4 linked regions of the Arabidopsis thaliana genome follow. The protein of the gene in region 1 interacts with the protein of each later gene in a biochemical or structural test. Each region holds a gene or a part of one and is shown on either strand. Other genes may lie near its edges. The genes, in order: FLS2, UBQ3, RPS2 and RPM1.

What was found.
Region 2: the proteins of FLS2 (region 1) and UBQ3 form a complex in vitro, tested with the Arabidopsis thaliana proteins (one study listed by BioGRID).
Region 3: the proteins of FLS2 (region 1) and RPS2 form a complex in vitro, tested with the Arabidopsis thaliana proteins (one study listed by BioGRID).
Region 4: the proteins of FLS2 (region 1) and RPM1 form a complex in vitro, tested with the Arabidopsis thaliana proteins (one study listed by BioGRID).

Annotation. Positions count from the first base shown.
Region 1 is NC_003076.8:18,789,590-18,796,451, reverse strand, and holds FLS2 (Leucine-rich receptor-like protein kinase family protein), read right to left. Parts: upstream 4,878-6,862; 5' UTR 4,651-4,877; coding exon 1,512-4,650; intron 1,428-1,511; coding exon 1,045-1,427; 3' UTR 544-1,044; downstream 1-543. Other genes in the region: RWA1 (O-acetyltransferase family protein), read left to right, coding at 1-91.
Region 2 is NC_003076.8:771,142-775,241, reverse strand, and holds UBQ3 (polyubiquitin 3), read left to right. Parts: upstream 1-1,728; 5' UTR 1,729-1,970; exon of another isoform or gene 1,971-2,345; coding exon 2,346-3,266; 3' UTR 3,267-3,582; downstream 3,583-4,100. Other genes in the region: AT5G03250 (Phototropic-responsive NPH3 family protein), read right to left, coding at 1-110, 223-292, 593-651.
Region 3 is NC_003075.7:13,222,470-13,228,400, reverse strand, and holds RPS2 (NB-ARC domain-containing disease resistance protein), read right to left. Parts: upstream 4,064-5,931; 5' UTR 3,806-4,063; coding exon 1,076-3,805; 3' UTR 529-1,075; downstream 1-528. Other genes in the region: CK1 (casein kinase 1), read left to right, coding at 40-155, 268-516.
Region 4 is NC_003074.8:2,225,314-2,231,542, forward strand, and holds RPM1 (NB-ARC domain-containing disease resistance protein), read right to left. Parts: upstream 4,243-6,229; 5' UTR 3,712-4,242; coding exon 931-3,711; 3' UTR 542-930; downstream 1-541. Other genes in the region: NSN1 (GTP-binding family protein), read right to left, coding at 4,289-4,633, 4,729-4,940, 5,042-5,221, 5,334-5,598, 5,693-5,907, 6,006-6,179.

The sequences.
Region 1 (6,862 bases):
CAAGCGACTCTTCTCTAACTTCATAGCTGGGATTGCCATCGCTCTTCCACTCTATTGCTTCTCATTCGTTCTTCTTCAGATTCATCGTTAGAAACCGTGAGTCCCCAAATCATTCTCATTGGCCATCCACTCATAAAAAATCTAACGAAAACTTTGTTGATTTCTGTCATTTACAGGCAAAAACAAGTGTTTGTTCTTTGTGTTTCTTCATTGTGGTCGCATCAAAGCAAAGGAAAATAAGTAAAAAGACAAGTTAGTTTTGTTGATCATTTTCTTGTGCACATTCAGCTTCAAAGGACGTTCACCAAAGGCAGAACCAAGAACCGCATAGACCAACATCGCTCAACTACTTTTCTCTATTGCCATACAAAAGCGAAGTAATTGTCTCCGATTTAAAGTTTTCAATTTTTTGTGCTATATTCTTTAGATTTTGTTTTGTAAGGATTAAGCAAACAATATGTAGTTCGTCCAAAAATGTATAGTGATGTTAAAGAATTATATGAAATTGCAAAGTTTTAAAGAAGAATTCATTCTCAACAGTCACTGACATGGTTTTCTATCAGTCTAGTCTTGCAATTTCTGCGGTTCGCTAGCCGAGAATGGAAAACATTACCCGGGGAGATGAAAATGTAATGACTCTAGTTTTCACAGCTATTACTTGGCAAGTCTACACAATTGTCTTGTGTGGCATTGATCTTTGAGTCATCTTCTGTGTTCTCGATAACCGTCGTGAGATTGCCTATTGTCCGATACTAGCAGTGGTATTGTTTCATGATTAAATGGAAGGGACAAACGTCATCTCCATCATGATGACAAAAACTTGACGAACCTTATTCCTGATCTGCCTGCAATAAGAAACTATAGTATCCATGTGTAGCCTAATGCATTTGTATATGAAAAAGTTCATCAAAACCAAATTTCAACCTTATATAAAACAGAAATACATAACGAAAAGCAAAATCAGAACGTTTTACGTCCAAAGTATTCAACCTTCGTAACAGAGTTTGGCAAAGTCGAAAAAATGTCATCAAAAAAGCTTTGCTGCTAAACTTCTCGATCCTCGTTACGATCTTCTCGAAATGAATTCGCTTTGCCTCTAAGTTTCATCAGATGTGTAAGAATCTCGTTCATATCAGGTCGATCTTCAGGTCTAGAGCTTGTACAGAACAAACAAAGCTTCAGAAAGTCTTCAATAGCCTCTTCCTGTTTCAGAGAAACAATAGAGTCCCCGAGTTCCATATCAAGAACCCTAACCATCCCTTTTCTTCCATTTCCAATCGATTTCTCCACCAATTGGCGCAAAGTCATGTCTTGTGAATCTTCATCATTCAACGAAGTTGGTCTCTGTTTCGTCATCAGCTCCATCATTATGATCCCGAAGCTGAATACATCGGCTTTTGTTGTCACTTTCCTCATATAAGCAAACTCTGTTCATGAAAAATAAGAGTGTATTTCAAGTAAGTCGATGGCATAATTAGGGTTTTGAAAATTAAGTGTTGTGAGTAATTTACCTGGAGCTAAGTATCCAATTGTACCCTCGAAGGCTGATGTTGAAGCTGTGGTGCTTCCATCTTCGCGGAAACCTAGAATCCGAGCAGTTCCAAAATCGCTTACGTGAGCAACGCGGTCACTGTCAAGGAGTATATTAGCTGGCTTCAGATCACAATGAACGATGGGAAAACCATATCCAGAATGAAGATAATCGATTCCGCTTGCGATATGAACACAAAGATCGATTTTTTCTAAAAGCGACCCAATCGGTGCTGCAGAGCCGTGAATGGTGTCCTCCAAGTTTCCATTCTCCATAAATGGAAGCACTAAAGCTTTCGTTTTGCCGCTTTCCCACGCAAACCCTAAGATCTTCACCAGGTTTCGATGTTTTAGTTGGCTCAATGTTTTAGCTTCTGTGTAGAACCACTTGTCTGATTCTGCAGAGAATTCCTTTAGATTCAATACTTTTACTGCAATCACTGTCCCATCTTCTAGCTGACCTTTGTACACTGTGCTTAAGCTGCTTGAGCCAATGATGTTGGCACTGTTGAATGAATCTGTTGCTTGCTCCAACTCTTTTGGTTCAAATCTCTTCAGTTTCAGAGCTGAATCCAAATCCGGTAATGAGGACTCTGATGAATTTTCAATCTTTTTTTCTTTTTTCTTGCAACAGGTTAGAATCAGAACAAGAAGCAGGACAAGAAGAAGAGCCGCGGCTGATCCAAGAATAATCAGGATGACTCTGGTTCTCTTCGAGAAGTGGCTCGACTTCTGCTTGATCGTACATGGCTTGAGAGGCTTCTTGCTACCACAGAGATCTGTGTTTCCCATTAGATCAGAGGCGTTGATGTTTTTGAACACCCCGGATTCAGGAACATGGCCTTTGAGGTTGTTTGAAGCTAGTTTGAGATGTTTCAGAGTCGAAAGATTGGCGAGACTCTCTGGAATTTCACCAGTGAGATTGTTACTAGAGAGATCCAAGGAGACCAAATGCGTCATGTTCCCGAAGCTCTGAGGGATTTCTCCAGAGAAACTGTTCCTTGAAAGGTTCAAGCTTATGATCATATCCATGCCTTGGAAGACTTCATCTGGTATATGACCCGAGAGATTGTTCTGCGAAAAATCCAGTGTGAACACATTTTTGCAGGCCTGTAAAGATCTTGGAATAGACCCAGAAAAGAGATTGTTTGAAAGGTCGATTTCTTGAACCATTTCAAGCTTTCCAAGCTCCTTTGGGATGGTTCCAGTCAACAAGTTGTTTGAGAAGTTGAGGTAAAGCTGCATGTTTTTCAAAGAAGCTAACAGCTCTCCAGGGATGGTTCCAGTGAGAAGATTGTCGGAGATATCGAATGTGTTGAGAAGCGAAAGCGACTTAAGGCTTGCAGGGATAGACCCGTTGAATTTGTTTCCTTGAAGACTCAAGTAGGTAAGCGATTCAAGCTTGGAGAACAAGGCAGGAATTTGACCTGAGAATTTGTTGTTGGAAAGATCAAGAACTGAGAGTAGCTTCATATCAAACATTTCTTCAGGAATTGGACCTTCAAGATCATTTGAATACATCCTTAGCCCCTGGAGGAGAGTGAGATTCGACATCTCTCTCGGGATTCTCCCTGTGAAACCATTAGAGTGAAGGTACAAGATATTCAAATCTTTCAGATTCCCGATTTCTCGAGGAATCGGTCCAGTGAGAGAGTTATATGAAACTTGCAAAATCCTGAGTTTTTGAAGCTTCCCAATTAATGGCTTGAGAGTTCCTGTTAAGTTGTTATCTGCCACACTAAGAGTTTCCAAGTTTGAACAGTTGAAGATATCATCTGGAATTTCACCGGTGAAATGATTCCTCCCAATAGAAATGAACGTAAGATTCATCCTTCCGAAACCCCGCGGGATCTCGCCAGTCATTTGGTTGTGAGACAGGTCCAGGAGTTTAAGACCGGTGCAGTTACTTATGCTGGAAGGTATTGGTCCGGTAAGAAGATTGTCGTGCGCTGAAAGGTTCCGAAGGTTTGTAAGAAGCCCTAGATCCGCCGGGAGCTCACCGGAAATATTATTGAACCCCACCGTTAGGACTGTCAAGTTCCTCAAGTTTGTGATGGACTGTGGAAACTCTCCTGTGAAGTTGTTGGAATGAAGTGTGAGGACTTCAAGTGACTCAAGAAAACCGATTTCTTCTGATATCGGTCCAACCAAATGGTTTTCTGATAACCCCAAATGGGTTAACTGAGTTAACCGGAACAATGAAGATGGAATTGAAGAAGTAAGTTTGTTCTTGTATATCCGGAGTGCTTGCAGCTGAACCAAATTCCCTAATTCAGCTGGTATTTTCCCGGTTAACTGGTTATCGTAAAGCTCAAGTTGGACCAAGCTCGAGCAGTTTCCGATCTCAGCTGGTATATCTCCTTCCAACAAGTTTTCAGTTAAAACGAGAGACTGTAAGTTCAAGAGATTTCCAAAATCTCTCGGTATTTTTCCGGTTAACTGGTTACCACTCAGGTCTAAATCCGTTAAATTAGCCAGAGTACCAATTGATACCGGAATCGAACCAGTTAAATGGTTACCAGCTGCTACAAACATTTGGAGATGAACCAAATCTCCTAAGCATTCTGGTATTTTCCCGGTTAAGTTGTTGTAATCAAACCCAATCAATACCAAAGAACTGGTTTTGCAGATTTCCTCAGGAACATCACCGGACAACAAATTATTTCTAAGATCAAGATAGAAAATATTCTTAAGCTCCCAGATTCCAGAAGGAATCGAACCAGAGAAATAGTTTAGGTACAGAATAAGCTGGTTAAGCTCGGTTAACTTTCCTATTTCAGCCGGTATTTTGCCGGTAAAACTATTTGAAGTGAGATCAAGAACCTGGAGATAGGTGAGATTCGCTATGGCTGGAGACAGAACACCTTCAAGTTGCTTCTCCAGCAAGGAAACCGAGACTACATGTCCGGTACTATCGCAGGTGATTCCGGTCCAATTACAGTGTCGTAACGAACCGATGATGGTCCAATCTGATAATACTCCTAAAGGGTCGTTGGAAATACCATTCTTGAAGGATTTCAAAGCTTCGATCTCTGGTTCAAAGCTCTGTTTCGCTAGTGCAATGCCAAAGAAGAAGAAGGTGAGAGTTAATATCAAAAAGGTCTTTGAGAGTAACTTCATGGTTTAGACTTTAGAAGAGTTGAAATTGTGGAGAAGATATTATGAGAGAATTAATTATCTGGATATAAATCTATAGACGAAGTCATATGTTTATATATAAGCATATGCCGCAAGAAGATATAGATTTGAGGGATCATGTCACGGATGTGAAAAGGCCAAGACGCAATATAAGTTTCACTATTCACATAATTGGTAATTCTGTCAAGTTGCATATAAAGGCACTAAATGTATTCCCACTTCATAGTCATGCACATGCTTATATGCTTGTATTATATATCATATTCATTTAATCTCACAATGTATGTACTATGTAAGCCATATTCATGGGACCAGAATATGTAGTGACTACTTACTTACTAGTTTGTGTTAGTATCATTTTCCATATCTTATTTATGTAGTTTTTTTCCGATTTAGTTTTGAGCGATTGATTGATAACATATACAAAGTAGTTTTGACAAGGCGAAATCACTTTAATCTGCCTCCAAACGTTCTAGTCAAACTCAGATATACCACTAGAATGAAAACAATATGTTCTAGTCGTTAATTTATATGATTTCTTATAGTATATAATACATATGAAACTCACATTCTAGCTGTTTTTATGCTAAAAACAAACAAAAATGGAGTTTGAGAAATGAAAAATAAAAACCTTTTTGTTATTGGTCAAAAGAGTAGCAATCGTTGAAACTGAAATGATTGGTACTCAACATAGTATTTGACTATTGATTAAATAACATAACAATTATCATATTTTTTTCTTTCTAAATATTTGGTTTTAGGTCTAATCAGTTTAATTCATTAACACGTCTTCAAAGCTCTGACTATCAAAAGCTCATTAGCTGTCTTGATGGAATTTGTTTTATCAACAAGTTGTGTTCTGTACAAACAATCTGCCAAACATTTTATTTATCTTTCAACAAAAAGCAAAACAAAATTCAATTTTTGTTCAGATAGAAATATTACTCCTATGATCACAATTCACAACTTCTTAATATATGATTTATGGCTTTTCACATTGGACAAATGAATGGAAAAAAATAGGCGATTTAAAATAAAAAGATTATATTTTTAAAAAAGATTATGGATTTTGTATTGACTAATGACTATTGAGGAATCTGGTCATATATGATATCAGTTGATTTGGACAACCTCATCTTGACCCATTAGTATTTCAAAATTTCCATTAATTAAAAACAAAAAAAAAAATCAATTTTGTCTTCAAGATGCATGCACTGTTCTTACTTGGAGTTGACCCATATAATTCCATATCATGTTTACTTGAAGACTTGAAAGTTGACCCGTTAGACAAATAATGAATATCATTAGGTTGGGTCAAAATATTTAGAATGTCCGAAAAGGGTTTATATTGATTTTAAAATAAAGATGAACAAAGGAGTCAAAGAAAAAAACAAATTGACAGCTGTGGGATTTGAACCCACGCCCTTTCGGACCAGAGCCTAAATCTGGCGCCTTAGACCACTCGGCCAAACTGTCACATTATTACATTAAGCATGTGATTGTATTTATACTAATGTTTTAATTATTGAAAAGAAATAATCCTCGTCTTGTTGTTTTTCTTTTTAATATTTCTTAGAGCAAAGTCTTTTGCGTTTTGACTATATCTTATGGACAATCATATAAAAGTTATTTTATTTCTTTGAATTATTCGTATCAGTTTTTTTAATAAAATGTGAATTTCTATTACCATAGGAACATTGTTCATATATAATAACTTTTATATGATTACCTATGGTAATAGACAAGTCTGCAAAGATATAAGGAGATTGCCCAAACCGAAGCATTATCATGTGCCAAATTTCCTTTGTAAAGAGACAATGTAGAAGTAAGTGATTCCTTGTTTCTTCACACAGAACTGTTACATTGCTCAATGATAGATTTAACATTTAAGATGTTAATAGCAAAAAGAAATTTTTTAAATGGGATGATTGATTAAGGTGCTCGCGAGAACAAAGTAGATTATATACAAGAAGTTTGATCACTACAAGTTATTATGATTTGTGACGGATTTTCACTACATAATATTACTTAACGATATATATCATATCTTTACATAATATAACAATGTTATTAAATACGGCTTAGGAGGTGGTTAGGCTCTATGTAGGTTACATACTCCGATTTTAAATTGTAGTGTAGTTTACGCGGTTTTAAAATTTGGATGTCTAATAACACTTACAAAATTTCATATTTT
Region 2 (4,100 bases), about 18 Mb from region 1:
TTGCCGCCTCCCGGTATCTCATCTAAGCTCAACACACAGCCTGATCCATCATCAGTTGAAGACTCTTCGATTAACCTCTCAAGAAGCCCACTTCTAGATAGTAACGGAAACTACACACAAATCAAGAACACACATTACACAGTTAGATCATCAAGCTTTCACATTTATGCAATTACATCAAAACTAGGACTAAATAAACAGAGAAGATAGAGAAAATTTAACCTTGTGGAGATGAAACTTCATGTCTCCAACTTCAATGGTAACATCACTCACGAGTCCTGTAGTGCAAAGCCTGTAAGACAAGAGAGAGACATAAACCACCACCCAAAACAGAATATACTTGTCCGTACAAAATTGATTATTGATGTCACAAATCAATCAGAGCTAAATTCCAAAAAAAATATGATCTTTGAAACTTGCATCAATAACTAACGATTCTAGGAAGAGCCCATTTCGATTTCAACAAAAAGATGAGAGCTTGATTACATATAAAATCAAGAGAAATTAACGACATTGAAGAGAATTCGATCTCGAAACCGGAAACAAAGACTTATAAGTCGATTAGTCTAATTCAATGCAGAAGAAAGAATACCAGGTTTGGCCTTCACGATGGAAAGCTTCGGATTTGGAGCCAAGTCTCATAAACGCCATTGTGGAAGAAAGTCTTGAGTTGGTGGTAATGTAACAGAGTAGTAAGAACAGAGAAGAGAGAGAGTGTGAGATACATGAATTGTCGGGCAACAAAAATCCTGAACATCTTATTTTAGCAAAGAGAAAGAGTTCCGAGTCTGTAGCAGAAGAGTGAGGAGAAATTTAAGCTCTTGGACTTGTGAATTGTTCCGCCTCTTGAATACTTCTTCAATCCTCATATATTCTTCTTCTATGTTACCTGAAAACCGGCATTTAATCTCGCGGGTTTATTCCGGTTCAACATTTTTTTTGTTTTGAGTTATTATCTGGGCTTAATAACGCAGGCCTGAAATAAATTCAAGGCCCAACTGTTTTTTTTTTTAAGAAGTTGCTGTTAAAAAAAAAAAAAGGGAATTAACAACAACAACAAAAAAAGATAAAGAAAATAATAACAATTACTTTAATTGTAGACTAAAAAAACATAGATTTTATCATGAAAAAAAGAGAAAAGAAATAAAAACTTGGATCAAAAAAAAAAACATACAGATCTTCTAATTATTAACTTTTCTTAAAAATTAGGTCCTTTTTCCCAACAATTAGGTTTAGAGTTTTGGAATTAAACCAAAAAGATTGTTCTAAAAAATACTCAAATTTGGTAGATAAGTTTCCTTATTTTAATTAGTCAATGGTAGATACTTTTTTTTCTTTTCTTTATTAGAGTAGATTAGAATCTTTTATGCCAAGTATTGATAAATTAAATCAAGAAGATAAACTATCATAATCAACATGAAATTAAAAGAAAAATCTCATATATAGTATTAGTATTCTCTATATATATTATGATTGCTTATTCTTAATGGGTTGGGTTAACCAAGACATAGTCTTAATGGAAAGAATCTTTTTTGAACTTTTTCCTTATTGATTAAATTCTTCTATAGAAAAGAAAGAAATTATTTGAGGAAAAGTATATACAAAAAGAAAAATAGAAAAATGTCAGTGAAGCAGATGTAATGGATGACCTAATCCAACCACCACCATAGGATGTTTCTACTTGAGTCGGTCTTTTAAAAACGCACGGTGGAAAATATGACACGTATCATATGATTCCTTCCTTTAGTTTCGTGATAATAATCCTCAACTGATATCTTCCTTTTTTTGTTTTGGCTAAAGATATTTTATTCTCATTAATAGAAAAGACGGTTTTGGGCTTTTGGTTTGCGATATAAAGAAGACCTTCGTGTGGAAGATAATAATTCATCCTTTCGTCTTTTTCTGACTCTTCAATCTCTCCCAAAGCCTAAAGCGATCTCTGCAAATCTCTCGCGACTCTCTCTTTCAAGGTATATTTTCTGATTCTTTTTGTTTTTGATTCGTATCTGATCTCCAATTTTTGTTATGTGGATTATTGAATCTTTTGTATAAATTGCTTTTGACAATATTGTTCGTTTCGTCAATCCAGCTTCTAAATTTTGTCCTGATTACTAAGATATCGATTCGTAGTGTTTACATCTGTGTAATTTCTTGCTTGATTGTGAAATTAGGATTTTCAAGGACGATCTATTCAATTTTTGTGTTTTCTTTGTTCGATTCTCTCTGTTTTAGGTTTCTTATGTTTAGATCCGTTTCTCTTTGGTGTTGTTTTGATTTCTCTTACGGCTTTTGATTTGGTATATGTTCGCTGATTGGTTTCTACTTGTTCTATTGTTTTATTTCAGATGCAAATCTTCGTGAAAACACTCACTGGCAAGACTATCACTCTCGAGGTTGAGAGCTCTGACACCATCGACAATGTTAAGGCAAAGATTCAGGACAAGGAAGGCATTCCTCCGGATCAGCAAAGATTAATATTCGCCGGTAAACAGCTAGAAGATGGCCGTACCTTGGCCGATTACAACATTCAGAAAGAATCAACCCTTCATTTGGTTCTCCGTTTAAGAGGTGGTATGCAAATCTTTGTCAAGACTCTGACTGGCAAGACCATTACTTTGGAGGTTGAGAGCTCTGACACTATTGACAACGTCAAAGCAAAGATCCAGGACAAGGAAGGAATCCCTCCGGATCAGCAGAGACTTATCTTTGCCGGTAAGCAGCTTGAAGACGGAAGAACTCTTGCTGACTACAACATTCAAAAGGAGTCGACCCTTCATTTGGTGCTTCGTCTCAGAGGTGGTATGCAAATCTTTGTCAAGACCCTCACTGGTAAAACAATCACCCTTGAGGTTGAGAGTTCAGACACCATTGACAATGTCAAAGCTAAGATCCAAGATAAAGAGGGAATTCCTCCGGATCAGCAGAGGCTTATCTTTGCCGGTAAGCAGCTCGAAGATGGACGCACCCTTGCAGATTACAACATCCAAAAGGAGTCGACACTTCATCTTGTGCTTCGTCTCCGTGGTGGTATGCAGATCTTTGTGAAGACCCTTACCGGAAAGACCATTACTCTGGAGGTTGAAAGCTCAGACACCATCGATAATGTCAAGGCTAAGATTCAGGACAAGGAAGGGATCCCACCAGACCAACAGAGACTCATCTTCGCTGGAAAACAGCTTGAGGATGGTCGCACACTTGCAGATTACAACATCCAGAAGGAGTCGACTCTTCACTTGGTTCTTCGTCTTCGTGGTGGAAGCTTCTAAGCTTTTTGTGATCTGATGATAAGTGGTTGGTTCGTGTCTCATGCACTTGGGAGGTGATCTATTTCACCTGGTGTAGTTTGTGTTTCCGTCAGTTGGAAAAACTTATCCCTATCGATTTCGTTTTCATTTTCTGCTTTTCTTTTATGTACCTTCGTTTGGGCTTGTAACGGGCCTTTGTATTTCAACTCTCAATAATAATCCAAGTGCATGTTAAACAATTTGTCATCTGTTTCGGCTTTGATATACTACTGGTGAAGATGGGCCGTACTACTGCATCACAACGAAAAATAATAATAAGATGAAAAACTTGAAGTGGAAAAAAAAAAAAACTTGAATGTTCACTACTACTCATTGACCATAATGTTTAACATACATAGCTCAATAGTATTTTTGTGAATATGGCAACACAAACAGTCCAAAACAATTGTCTCTTACTATACCAAACCAAGGGCGCCGCTTGTTTGCCACTCTTTGTGTGCAATAGTGTGATTACCACATCTCCACATTCAATATATTCCCTGAATTATCTGACGATTTTGATGGCTCACTGTTTTCCCAAGTCTTGAATTGTCTTCTGTGCGCCAGTCAAATGCATATGTGTTGAGTTTATCTTTTAAATATCAAGCTTTTGTTTTTAACTTTTGTTTGTAACCAAAAACTCACAGTAGGAGTTTGATCACATAATTTTATGTTTGCCTTTGCAATTTCTAGTGAGTCTTTGATTAAAAGCTTGAAAAGAAAATGCAGCCAAGCTTACCAAGTAAGTTATGTGTATTAACCAGAGGAAGAGAGAATCTTGCAAAATTTCAACAAACACAAAAAGAAGTATTACTA
Region 3 (5,931 bases), on another chromosome or scaffold:
TATTATTCACATTGTTTGTTGTTCATTGTTGAATCCAAGGGGAGGAAGAAGGGCGACCACATATGGAATCATCTCGACGGAGAGTTTCAGGGGCTCTTGATAACTCAGGGAATATTTCGAACCAACCGACATCCTCAAGTGCTAGAGACTCCATGGTATGAATCTCTCTGCATTTGCTATCTCTCTCACCTGCAAACATGAGTTTGGGTCATATGTGATTTAGTGGCTAAAAGTATCAAAACTTTGTTCAATTTCTTTTGGATGCAGATCCCGAGCTCCTCGTTGTTTGCACAATCAGCAGGATCATCGAGGAGAGTAACTGCAGTAAGTGGCAGCCGGGACAATTTTCCAGGCAGCGAGGAGTTGTTGCAGAGAAGCCGTACAGGTGACGTCAGCCGCGGCGTGATCCCGAGAAACTCTCCTGGGGAGGCTGGGAAATCCACAAGAAGACACTACGAATCAGTAGTTAAAGGCATCGATAATCTTCAAGTCTCGGACGAACACCATCCCCACTGATACATTAATTTTACTCAGTGACCTTTTTATTCCTTTTTCCGTTATTACACTACGAAAATTTGAAAATACAATTTGATTGATCCACCATGAAATTTGGTCTTCACTACAATATCTATGATTATTGGGGCTCAAACGTAACAATTAAAAATAAAGATGCACAAATGCAAAATTCTTCTTCTCCGATCCGGTTCTGCAATTTCACCGGATCCGGTTCAGCTCATTAGCTCAATTCTTCACAGTCGTCGTCCATGCTTTCTCACTTCTTACTGGAGGTCTAATCTGAGGTGACGATTCCCAGAATTGTTGCAGAGATCTGATAAACTTGTTCGTCTTCACTGATCGGAACTGGAGCTTGGAGTTTCTATATCGACGATACTCGGTGAGTCTTCGTCCTCATAGTCGTGAGATCTATTTGATCGCGGATAGTTTGGTTTTTATGATTACATAATCTCTAGTTTTGTGGTCTAGTGGAAAGTTGATGACTTCACTGGAACAACCTTCCTGGCTTCCTGCTACTTATGAATGGACATATTTGTACAGAGTGCTCTTAGCTCTTATATCAATTTGGAACAAAGCGCGGTAAATAACAAAGCTCTTCGTTTGGTTGATCTTTTTCCAGTGCTTTCCACCATTTCTCCTCACAATAAACTGTTGGCAAGTTCATCTGGGTCCTCCTCTCCTGAAACGGCAGTTTCTTAACTCTGGGGCAATTTGTGATGACTAATGTTTCAACTTTTTGGAATGAAAATCGAGATGGGAGGATGCTGTTTAGTTCTGGCAGATCCCTAGTTCTCAAGGTCTTCAGGCTTGGGAACAATGTTGGATCTTCGACGGATGGACTCTCGTGTTCGCTTATCAATTCCTCTATCTCTCTGCAGTCGAACAGTTCAATCACCTCTAGCTTTGGGAGTTTCTGAACCCATGAGACATTCTTCAGCTTGTTGCAGTGTGAAATGTTTATGCAACGGATATTCCGCAGACAATCTTGGCTTACAGAATTTCCCCACACTCTGGTTAAGTTGTGAAGGCTGTGTAACGTCAGAACCTCTAGACTCGGAAGCCAATCATTTTCAAAATCTGCGGGTGTGACCAGGTACTCCAAGTCATGGCAACTTTTAATGCTAAGTCTTCTCAGGTTCCTGCCATGGTTAGTGAGTGATGGGAGATTGAAGTAGAGGAGTTCATTGCACTCTTCAACGTGGAGATGCTGTATATGTTTATGCAAAGCACCGAACTCGAAGAGAGTTTTTAGGGTCTCCAATGAGAGAACAGTGATACCGAGTGTGGTTAGGTTTTCCAAGTATTCCAAGTCAGCGAATCCGAGTTCTTCTGCTTCATCTTCTCCAAAGCTCTGCAGTTCCCAACCGGCGTAACTGTAGTACAAGTTCAGAACCTCGAGCTTGCTCAGCCAACATATGGCATCTCGTGGGATCGTCTGAAGAAACTGAGTTCTTTGTAGGTCCAGATGCTTCAGTTTTCTAAGATTCCCAAGCTCCTGTGGCAATACACTTATCTTTGTTCCTGACATAGACAGATGATACAACTCCACCAAATACTTGATAGACAACGGAATCTCAGTGATACTTGTGAACGACAAGTCCAAGACTCTGAGAACAGGCATATGCATGAAAAACCCTGTTGGAATCTTCTTCAAAGAGCTGTTCTGTTGGAGCATCAGTGTTGTCAGTTTCGGGCATATGAGTTTTTCAGGCAAGGTCTGGATTCTGTTATCTAACAATGAGATCACCAACGCTTGTCGCCAGTTTTCTGCTTTAGGAGCTTCAGTATGTCCCATGCTAGGCTCAACTAGGATCAGCTCCTTATAAGTCCCCTGTTCAGATGCCATCCACAATGCAAAGCTTCTGACCACATTATGCATCTTCACCTGTGTTTTCTCATCTCCGGTTTCCAACAAACATGCCGCTTTCAGATCCCCAATGAGAAAATATCCCTTGTAAATGGTGTTAACGCCATGGGAGCTGGTGAGAAACCCTTCGCCGACCCAGTACTCAACAAGCTGCTCGATCTCTATAGAATGTTCTTCTGGGAATAAAGCGCAGTACAAGAAACAAGACCGAAGCAGATCACTCTCGAGGTTGTCGTAGCTGAATTTCAAAAGGGCAAATACATAGTTCATACCCTTCATCTCTGCTGGAAATCTAGTCAGAACTTCACTAGCATGGATCCACTCTTCTTCTGTCTCTCTATGAGCCATGGCTCCTCCTAAAGTGATCAACGCTAGTGGCAATCCTCCACATTTACTCACTATAATCTCCGCGAGCCGGCGAATTGATGATGACTCTAAAAGATCTTTTCTCCATACCTTACTACAGAACAGCTCCCACGCGTGTTTCTTCTCCAGAAACTCCACTCTCAACTTGTATTCCGCACCCATATTGTTGCATAATGCTATAGACCGTGTCGTGAACATCACCTTGCATTTGTTTTCCCTGTCAGGTCGAGGAACTCCAGTTTTCTCCAAGTCTATCTCTTCCCAGACATCATCTAGCAACAACAAGAAACGTTTCTGTCTCAAAGCTCTGTATATCTTCAAAGCTCTGTTTTCGCCGGTCTCCTTCTCGTCCCAAGATAAACCCAACCGTGCTCCAACGGCTTGCTGAATTGTACACTCGCCGAATTCTCTGGACATTTGAACCCAAATCAGTACATCATACTGATGTCCTTTTGTGATCAGCTCGTTGTTAATGCTCTGCATTAACGTTGTCTTCCCAACCCCACCAGGTCCATAAACACCAATGATTCCTCTTTCTTCTTCTTCACTGAGAAATTCCAAAACCTGTTCCATCATCGTGGTATTTCCGACAACGGACTTGATGGGTATCTCTCTACAAGTTACTTGAATTGACCCGCCATCTGTTTTGATAGCTTCAGAGCGTTCTCTCAGCTCACCAATGCTCTTCAATATGGCAGAAACCTTCTTGCACAGTTTGTAGTCGGCACAACCGAAACAACTGAGGTATCTCCTCCTCATTCGCGTCCTCTGTTCCCGACGCCTAAACCTCACTAAAAGTAGGGCTGTTTTAGTCTCCGTTACTTGCACCGCACTAAGCCACTCTCTGGCACGATTTGAGCAGCTTCGTCCCTCTAGACCGTCTTGTTGGATCCGTAAAGTCAGGTCATCACGTATGGCCTTCAAGTCACCGATGGCTGTTTCAAGATCAGTGATGGCTTGTCTAAGATCAGTCTTATGTCCTCTTCTCTCCGCCATATTCATAGATTCACACAACACCTGAGCACAGCCAACGATAAGAGATGAGATGAAATCCATTTCGATGATTTCTCGCTCTTTCTTTTACTTGTCTGAGCTAACTAACTAATAAAGATGAGGTGTTGACTCATAAAGATTAAAGTAAAGTCAACTTTAATAAAGCTGTCTTGCTTGCTTGTATGACTTGGTTCAAGAAACGAGTAGAGAGAGATAGGAATCTTCCTCGAAGTCTCGAACTGTTGTTTGCATGCTTGTAATTTCTACTGGCCAAGTGAAGGCCCGATAACAAAATTGGCCCTCTAAGAGCCTTTTAATGCCTATAGGGTTTTTTTGTTGGGTCAACAATTCCAATGATGGTGCATTTTTTTTATGTTGAATATATACAAGATTTGTTGCATATTAAAAAGACTGGTCAAGTAAAGTGTTTCACCGAAAATGGGAGACATCAAGTACTTATGAATGATGATATATGTACCGTTCTTTAGAATTAGTTCTGTGACTTTATTACGAGTTAGAACAAACCTACTTCTACTTCTCTTATCCACTTTGCCCGCAATCGCAAGGAAAGCTAACAAATTCAATTAATCACACATTAAACAAAATAAATTACTAGTGTTCATATTTGTCTCGGCTTTCTTCTCAGTTTATCTAAAAGAAATAGCTTTCAATAAAAAATCAATGTTTTTTCTACTTTTGTAATAATTTGTAAAAAAAAAACGGTAGATGATTGGTACATTGTATTTGAGGTGTCTTGGGTATTTTGTCTCTTGCCCATCATCCAAAGCCCACTTTCACACATCTCCCATATGAATAACATATCATTACACATTGTCCAAAGAAAACCGCACAAGTGGCATCAAACATATGGAACATGAATAAATACTTCTTTTTTATCTATCTGTTGACGAATAAATATTTATTGAGATATTAGAGAAAATAGAATAATAATGAGGAGAGGAAAAAAGAGAGTTTAAAGACAAGATATTTACGGAATTTAATGGGACGAAAGAAAAATAATATAAAAGGGGGACCTGTCTTTGTCAGTGCAATGAACCTTTTTTTCTTTCGATCAAATCTCTCCCGCCACCCAACTAACACATCTTAAACCGTACACGTCACCCTCTCTCCTTCCCATTTTCTTCGTCTACGTGTCGACCATCCACCGGTTTTTGTTTTCTGCTAAACGTGGGACCTATTCACATTTTTATTTTATTTTAAAAAATTGGACGGATTCTTTCATGTTCTTTGGGTCGTTGCATAATTATGTCCATGAGTCTATCCATCAAAATACCTTCGGAATCATCTTTTTATTTTATATATATACTGCGACAACAATAATTTTATGTTTTGTACTGTCTTTTCTGGTCAATAAAAAAAACTAAAAATTTGGTCGAATTTAATGGACTTCCATGACCAACTCTTCATTTCCCTTAAGGATAAATTGAGAAGAAAATTATATACTGGAATTTGAAAAAGCTTTATATAATTGTAACGTATTTTTATAATTGCACGACAAATCTCTTTTCTTGATTTTTTGTATGAAACTACAAAGACCAATTTTTCTAACAACTAAGATTCAGTTATTATTTTTGGTCACATAAATAAATGAGACGATAACTTCATAATGGTTTTGGTTTTGAGTTTGACCAAAAATGGTTTTCAAGATAAATAATTAGATGAATAATGAAACGTACCCCTTAAATAACAATTATTTAGATATTTTACCGGTGGTCTTTCATTTTTCCCGAATATAAAACATTGAATTCTTATCTAAAGGACAAAGTATTGTTCTTATTCTGAAAATGACACAAATTTAAAATTTTTATTTAAATCTATGAATATCTAAATGGTATATTATGTTTGGTGTTTTTTAGTCCAATGATTAGGAATTACGAATAATGTTTTCGTAATTCAAACTCTATTTATTTAGATTGAAAACTATATGACAAATAAAATAATTGCAAAACAATACAAGATTTAACTCGGACTACGACACGTCATTTAATGAAAGTCATCTTTATGAAAATATAAAATCCATTAAACTGATGACCTAACTAAAGTTAAAAGCAAACATATTTTATTTTGTTTGACAAACAAAAAAGAAATATATTTCTCCCAAAGAAAAAAAAAACCAAAAAACTTTATGTTTGTTAAAAAAATAAGAAATGATAAAAGCATTTTTTTTA
Region 4 (6,229 bases), on another chromosome or scaffold:
GCTCTGGAGAAGAAGAAAGGACAGAGATGAGATTTAAGGATAGAGAAACCCTTAGTAATAAACCCTAGAAGGAGAAGAAGGAATCGCGAGTTTCAAGATGAAGAAGAAAGAGCATCGGGAAAGGCCGATAGTAATACCAAGGGACACCAAAGAGCCTTGAGTTTTTAATTTTTACTATTGACTAGGCCCAAAACGGTCTTTCGTCAAACCGCTTCAAAACGGGTCAGATATTTTCGGATCCGGATCCGATTTTCGGGGAGGTTAGTATGTCTTTTACGTGCGTTAGTTGCACGTGGATAACACGAATGACCAGATATCCATCCATCAATAATAATCTCCGTTTTAACCGCCGCGGATCGTTGATAACAAGATTTTTTTTACTTTCTTCTTTTCAAAATTTCAAAACTTTTCCATCAGTTAAGGAGAAATTTAAAATGGAATGTTTTGGAGTAGTATTAAGTATTTAGTCCAACTGTATCTGGTTATTTCGATTAGTGTAAAGGTCCTAACTTTTGGGATTGTGAATGAGCCACTTTCATTTAGAAGACTAACACGGTAGTGGAATTTCTTGGTTGAAGCCGATACTCAAATAACAATGTCAACAATATTAAGGTCTTAACAAAGTAATGTTTACACAGAATTACAGAACAATCAGCTGACCATATTAAATCTTACTTAAATGAATTTCGAAAAAAAACAGTGGAAACTGCTGTGAAGTGAGCTGTTTAGTCATTAGCACTGACTCATGAGACCAGCAAAAAAATGTTGTCTTTGAGTGAAGAGAAGACCTGATTGTTGACTTTCAAAGACAACACATGACAATCAATCTGTTTGGTAAGCTCATGGCGTTTAGTAGTTATGTGAATATCCATCCCTGATTTTCACAGTACAGTGTGCAGTATCTTGTATGATGAAGCTTGCCTTGGCCGCCTAAGATGAGAGGCTCACATAGAAAGAGCCATTATCAGTTCTGAAATAATGCTTAATCGCAGGAATGTGTTTAACCCTTGACCGGTCCACACTCCCTTCTCCGCGAATGCGTTCTACTAACTGATTAGAAACATGAATCAAATGCAGTTCTTGAAGATTTATAAGATTCTCAATTCCTCTTGGTACGTACTCTAACCCTCTACAAGCCCTGACATAAAGCTTCTGAAGCTCAAACATTGCACCGTCTTCTATAACAACTTCTGTCAGATGTTTCATCTGAACTATCTCTAGAATCTTCAGATTCTGAAATCCTTGTGCAAAACGCAACCTAGGTCCCATGTATGCATTGTAAAATGAAAGCCATACCAATCTAGGAAGCGTTTGGATAGAGAGAATGGCGTTTTCCTGTAGCTGAGATCCACGCAAACCCAAATAGGTAAGGTTTTGAAGAGTGTTGAACCAACTTGGTACTCTCTCCAGTTTCCCAGCAAGAAAGAGCTTCTCAATGCTTGCAGTTGCGATCAGGTCATCTATCTCTAACGGTTCCTCTTCATCAATCGACGTTAAAGATAAGAATCGAATTCTTTTAATCTTATTCAGTGAATCGCACAAGTCTCTTCCATGTTCTCTCCTAACCATGACAAGACTTATTCTTGTGAGCTGAGTCATACACCCGAGATTTTTGATAAGCTCATCTTCTGCGTTGAAGCAGTCCATGACTTGCAAATCCTTCAACTGCCAGATTTTAGGAACAACCCTTGTACCTAAAACATAATTCCAATTGGAATCATGTCCTTCATTGCGGCGAAAAGTAATGAGATATCGCAACTTCTTCAATTTCCACATCCCTAGAGGAAGTTCCTCAATCTTGGAGTGCTTTGTGTTCAACGTCTCCAAATTGACGAGTTTATGGAAGTTTTTTGGCAGTTCTTTCACCTGTGTCTTGGACAAATTCAAGTACTTTAAGTTGAACATAGTTACTAAACAATCTGGTAACTTGCTGATGGAAGAGTCTTCAAGGTCTAAGGCTCTCAGAAGGTTCAGACTTGGAAGTAATTCCATCTTGTGTTTAGCAGAAGAGCAAACCAAAAGAGAGTGAAGGTTTGTTGCACGTATACTATCAGGTGTCATCTCTTTCTGAATGCATAAATGGCGACTACCGTAATTCTCCATTGTTTCTGCAGCATCATCACCATCACTGTCATCATTATATACATCACAGAACCTCTCAAGTTTGGATACAGATAGAGCAATCTCCCATATCACGTCATGCATCTTGAACGCCTTGGGTCGTCCAAAAGGATTCCACAAGATAACTTGAAGCATATTTCTGTAAACAAGTTCATTGAGGTAACTATCAGCCACTTCTTCTGCTTTCACTCCTCTGATCGGTTCCACAAACCTTTGTGCCATCCACATCCTAATGAGCCTCTTTCTTTTCATCCGATAGTTCACAGGGAAAAGAGAACAATATAAGAAACAACGTTTAAGCGGGTATGGCAAATCATTGAAGCTAAGGAACATAATGCTTCGAACAATCTTGAGTTCATGATTGTTGTTCAGTTCCCAGTTTAAAGTACTGTAGACTTTCTTCCATTCTGATTCAAACTTCTTGGTTGACATCATGCTTCCCAAAGAAGCAATAGCTAATGGCAAACCCTGACATCTCTCGACTAATTTTCGTGCTATCGGCTCCAAATTCTGCGTTCTGCATTGCTCAAGACTTGCCGGAAAAGCTTTGTTGGAGAAAAGCACCCAAGCTTCGTCTTCTTTTAAGAGCTCAATCTCGTGCTTTGTGCTCCCAATTCCATATGGGAAAGAAGCCACGTTCATGTCCCGAGTAGTCATCATAACACGACTTCCATAAATACCATCTGGTAAAGCAATACTTATCTCCCTCCATAGACCAGTGGTCCATACATCATCAAGCACAACAATGTACCTCTTCGACTGCAAATACTCCACAAGTTTTTCCACCAACTCTCTGTAGCCTAAGGAGTATAATTCAGCTGGAATCTGTGTATCTGCTTCTTTGTAAAACTCCTTGATCATGGTCCTAAACACATCTTCAATCACATAAGATTTCGAGATTGTAACCCAAGCGTAAGACTCAAAATGCCTCCGCACACTTTGAGACTTGAAGATATTCGCTGAGAGTGTAGTTTTCCCTGAACCGCCCATCCCAACCACCGCGACAACAATCCGCTGAGGTTCGGGACTTAGAAGCCGTCCGATGAGCTTTCCCTTGGGTGCATCAATCCCTACAAGACTATTTTCACTAAAGAAAAGAGATGACTCACTGATGTTGTTCACCCACTTTGCATCGCCATCATCAATAGGCGGTAATAATGCTGCTTGGTAGTTTTCTGAATGATAGTACCTTTTCATGGAATCAGAAATGGATTGAATCATGACATTAACCATTCCTAGCTTTTGAGCTATCGAGTGCCTCGCCCACATATACCTCGGGAAATGAAACGCACGCCAAATTTTGGCGCAGCTACGATAACCGTGGATGTGATAGCCAAACTCGTCGAGAATGTCTTCGATTTGGTAAGCCAAATCTCTCGTGTTTGCCACAAAAGTTTGGAAGAGTTGAGTTGTTGTTGTTGTGGATCCATTTCCACCATGTTTATGAGTATCCTCAAGAAAGGACTTCATGATCAGCAACTCCTTCTTCATTTTATCAATCTCACCATGGACTCCTGACAATAACAAGGTCTCGTTTTCCAGGACACTAAGAATCCGTCCGATCCCAAAATCAACAGTAGCCGAAGCCATCTTCCTCAGAGTCTCGCTTGAACCTTTTTTCCTTCACTGATTTAGTTTCTCTTGGTGAACTTGCTGAATTTGAGCAAAGCCAAGCTTTCGGTTCACACCTTACATGCCTGCCACATAACATTTTGATCAATTATCCTTAAGGACCTCAACAAAGTCAACGTCCTTTACTTGCGTTAAAGTCAACACGGGTTTAAACTGCTTTCACATTTGCAACTTGGAATTCAATTTGACGGATATGGTCGAGTTTGGAAGTTCCAAGAGAGAGACAGAGAAATCTGATGTACTGAACTCGGGTGTTGTTTTCGTCATTCGTTACCTGAAACTGAAAGGGTAAAAGATTATTACTTTCTTCTGAAGGGCGAAGAAGTACACTTACCTCAATGATTTTTGAATGTTCTTAAGATATTTGTTAAGCAAAGCAGAATTGGAATAGAAGAAACGTTAATTAAAGAAATCAAAATCGCTTCAGTATTACTACTAGTTCATGAAGCACATATATCAGAAAGTTTAACCGACCGACTCATAAACGCCAAATACAAAAAAAAAAAAAAAAAAAAACGTTGTGGTTTCCAATCACTCATTCTTCAGGCAAAAGTCCAGCCATTGGGATTTTAGCATCAATCTGGAATTCTTCGTCTTCTCCATCTTTGTTCTTCCTATAATCCACTTTGAAATCATAATCTCCGTCCATCAGATCCTCCTCATCAGCTCCTGCTTTCTTTGCTTTCTTCCTCTTCTTCTTCTCTGCTTTCTGTTTCTTTGTATTCAACATGCTTTCCGCTGCGTATAGCTTCACGTTCTGCCTCCCCGTCTCTGATTTCTCCTTCGTCTTTCCTGCCTCTTCCTCCTCCTCCCCTCCCATTGACTCATCATCATCACTCTCATGCTCAGCCTCCTCTTCCGTCTGCGTCTTAGACTCATCCTGTTTTTTTTTTTTGTGATACATCATCATAAACAAAGATTAAATCCAGACCGAGTCATTTACAAGCAAATGGAATCACGAGAGAAGTTACCAACCTCGATCATAGTTTCATCGAAATTGAGAGGACCATTTGAAGGAATAATAACAGGGTTGAATTCGTTAACCGTCTTCAAGCTCCCAATGAAAGAGGATTCACCACTGTAAACCTCATCGATGTTGAAATCCTTGGCCAGCTCAGTCACAATCTTTGACTCTGCATGTCCACCCTGGTCCCTCTTTGGCGGCATTGTATAGTATGGGATTTTACCTGCATAACCATTCATATTAGAGACAATGATGAGTTAAGAAACTGGTTTTCAAAAATGCTTTTACGCTTCAAGTTTACGAGGAACAAAAAAAGATCCGCACCTTCATTCCAGTCATGCAAAACAATTCTGGCAGCAGCATCAATATCCACAAGACCACCCTTTTTAAGTTTACCCCTTACAGTGGCGACTTTGTAAAGGAAATCATCAACTGCCTCGAAGCTCGGGATTTTGTAGAGAGTCACCAGCATATCTTTAGGACAAAGCTTGAGAATTTCCTTCACTATTTTTTTCACAAAGCAGAAGATTTCCAAGTTAGGTCACTCAGATTATAACCTTTAAAAGACAAAGCACAAAAATAAGTGTGATTCTATCTTGAGCTTATATCCAATTACCTGGACTAACTGGGTCATCCAACTTCTCGATTCTTTTACAATTTCGGAGAGCTATGGAAGCATCATTTCCTGATGATTTCAACATCACAACTCCAGGACAATCCAGCAACTTCACGTTTTTGTCCAAGTGAACCTCTTGCAGAGATCTAGTCAGTCCAGGAGTGGCACCAACATTGACAACATGCGCTCTCTTCAGACTGTTAATAAGACTACTCTTGCCGACATTAGGCAGTCCAATAATACCAACTGTGATAGATTTTTTTAACTGCCAAAGAACAACAAAGGAAGATTTAATTGAAACTGAATGATATAACTTGATGCTAAGGTAGGATGATTAAAGTTTAAACTATGGAACCAACCTCATGACTTCTTGAGTAGTTCTTCAACAATTTGATAAGAGTGTCTGCTCCAAGACAATCACTCGTCTGCAACATATTGCTTGGTTTTGATGCCTTAGATGATTTCCAACCCAAGTTTGATCTCTGTTCCTGGGTGCTACACTTGAAGGCAACAGCTGGAAATTCTTCCCTAAGGTACATAAGCCATTTCTCAGCAGCCTCTCGGGGAACAAGATCTGGAGAGAGTGAATCAGTTACAAAAATTAATTACACCACCCAGAGTAAACAAACAACTTATTACGTCCACGAGTAAAGACTGAATATATGAACTTACCAATCTTGTTCAGCAGCAACACAAGATGCTTATTGGGACCGGCTTGCATCACCATCCTCTCCATGTCAGTACAACGAGTGCCAAGAGGATCACGGGCATCAAGAACCTCCAAAATGACATCAGACAATTCAATGACTTTAACTAGCTCCTTGTAGAAAGCCCTCTCCGAGTTATCTGTGAAACAAAAGACATTAGTGCATGTAAAGGCAGAGAGAAAGCACATA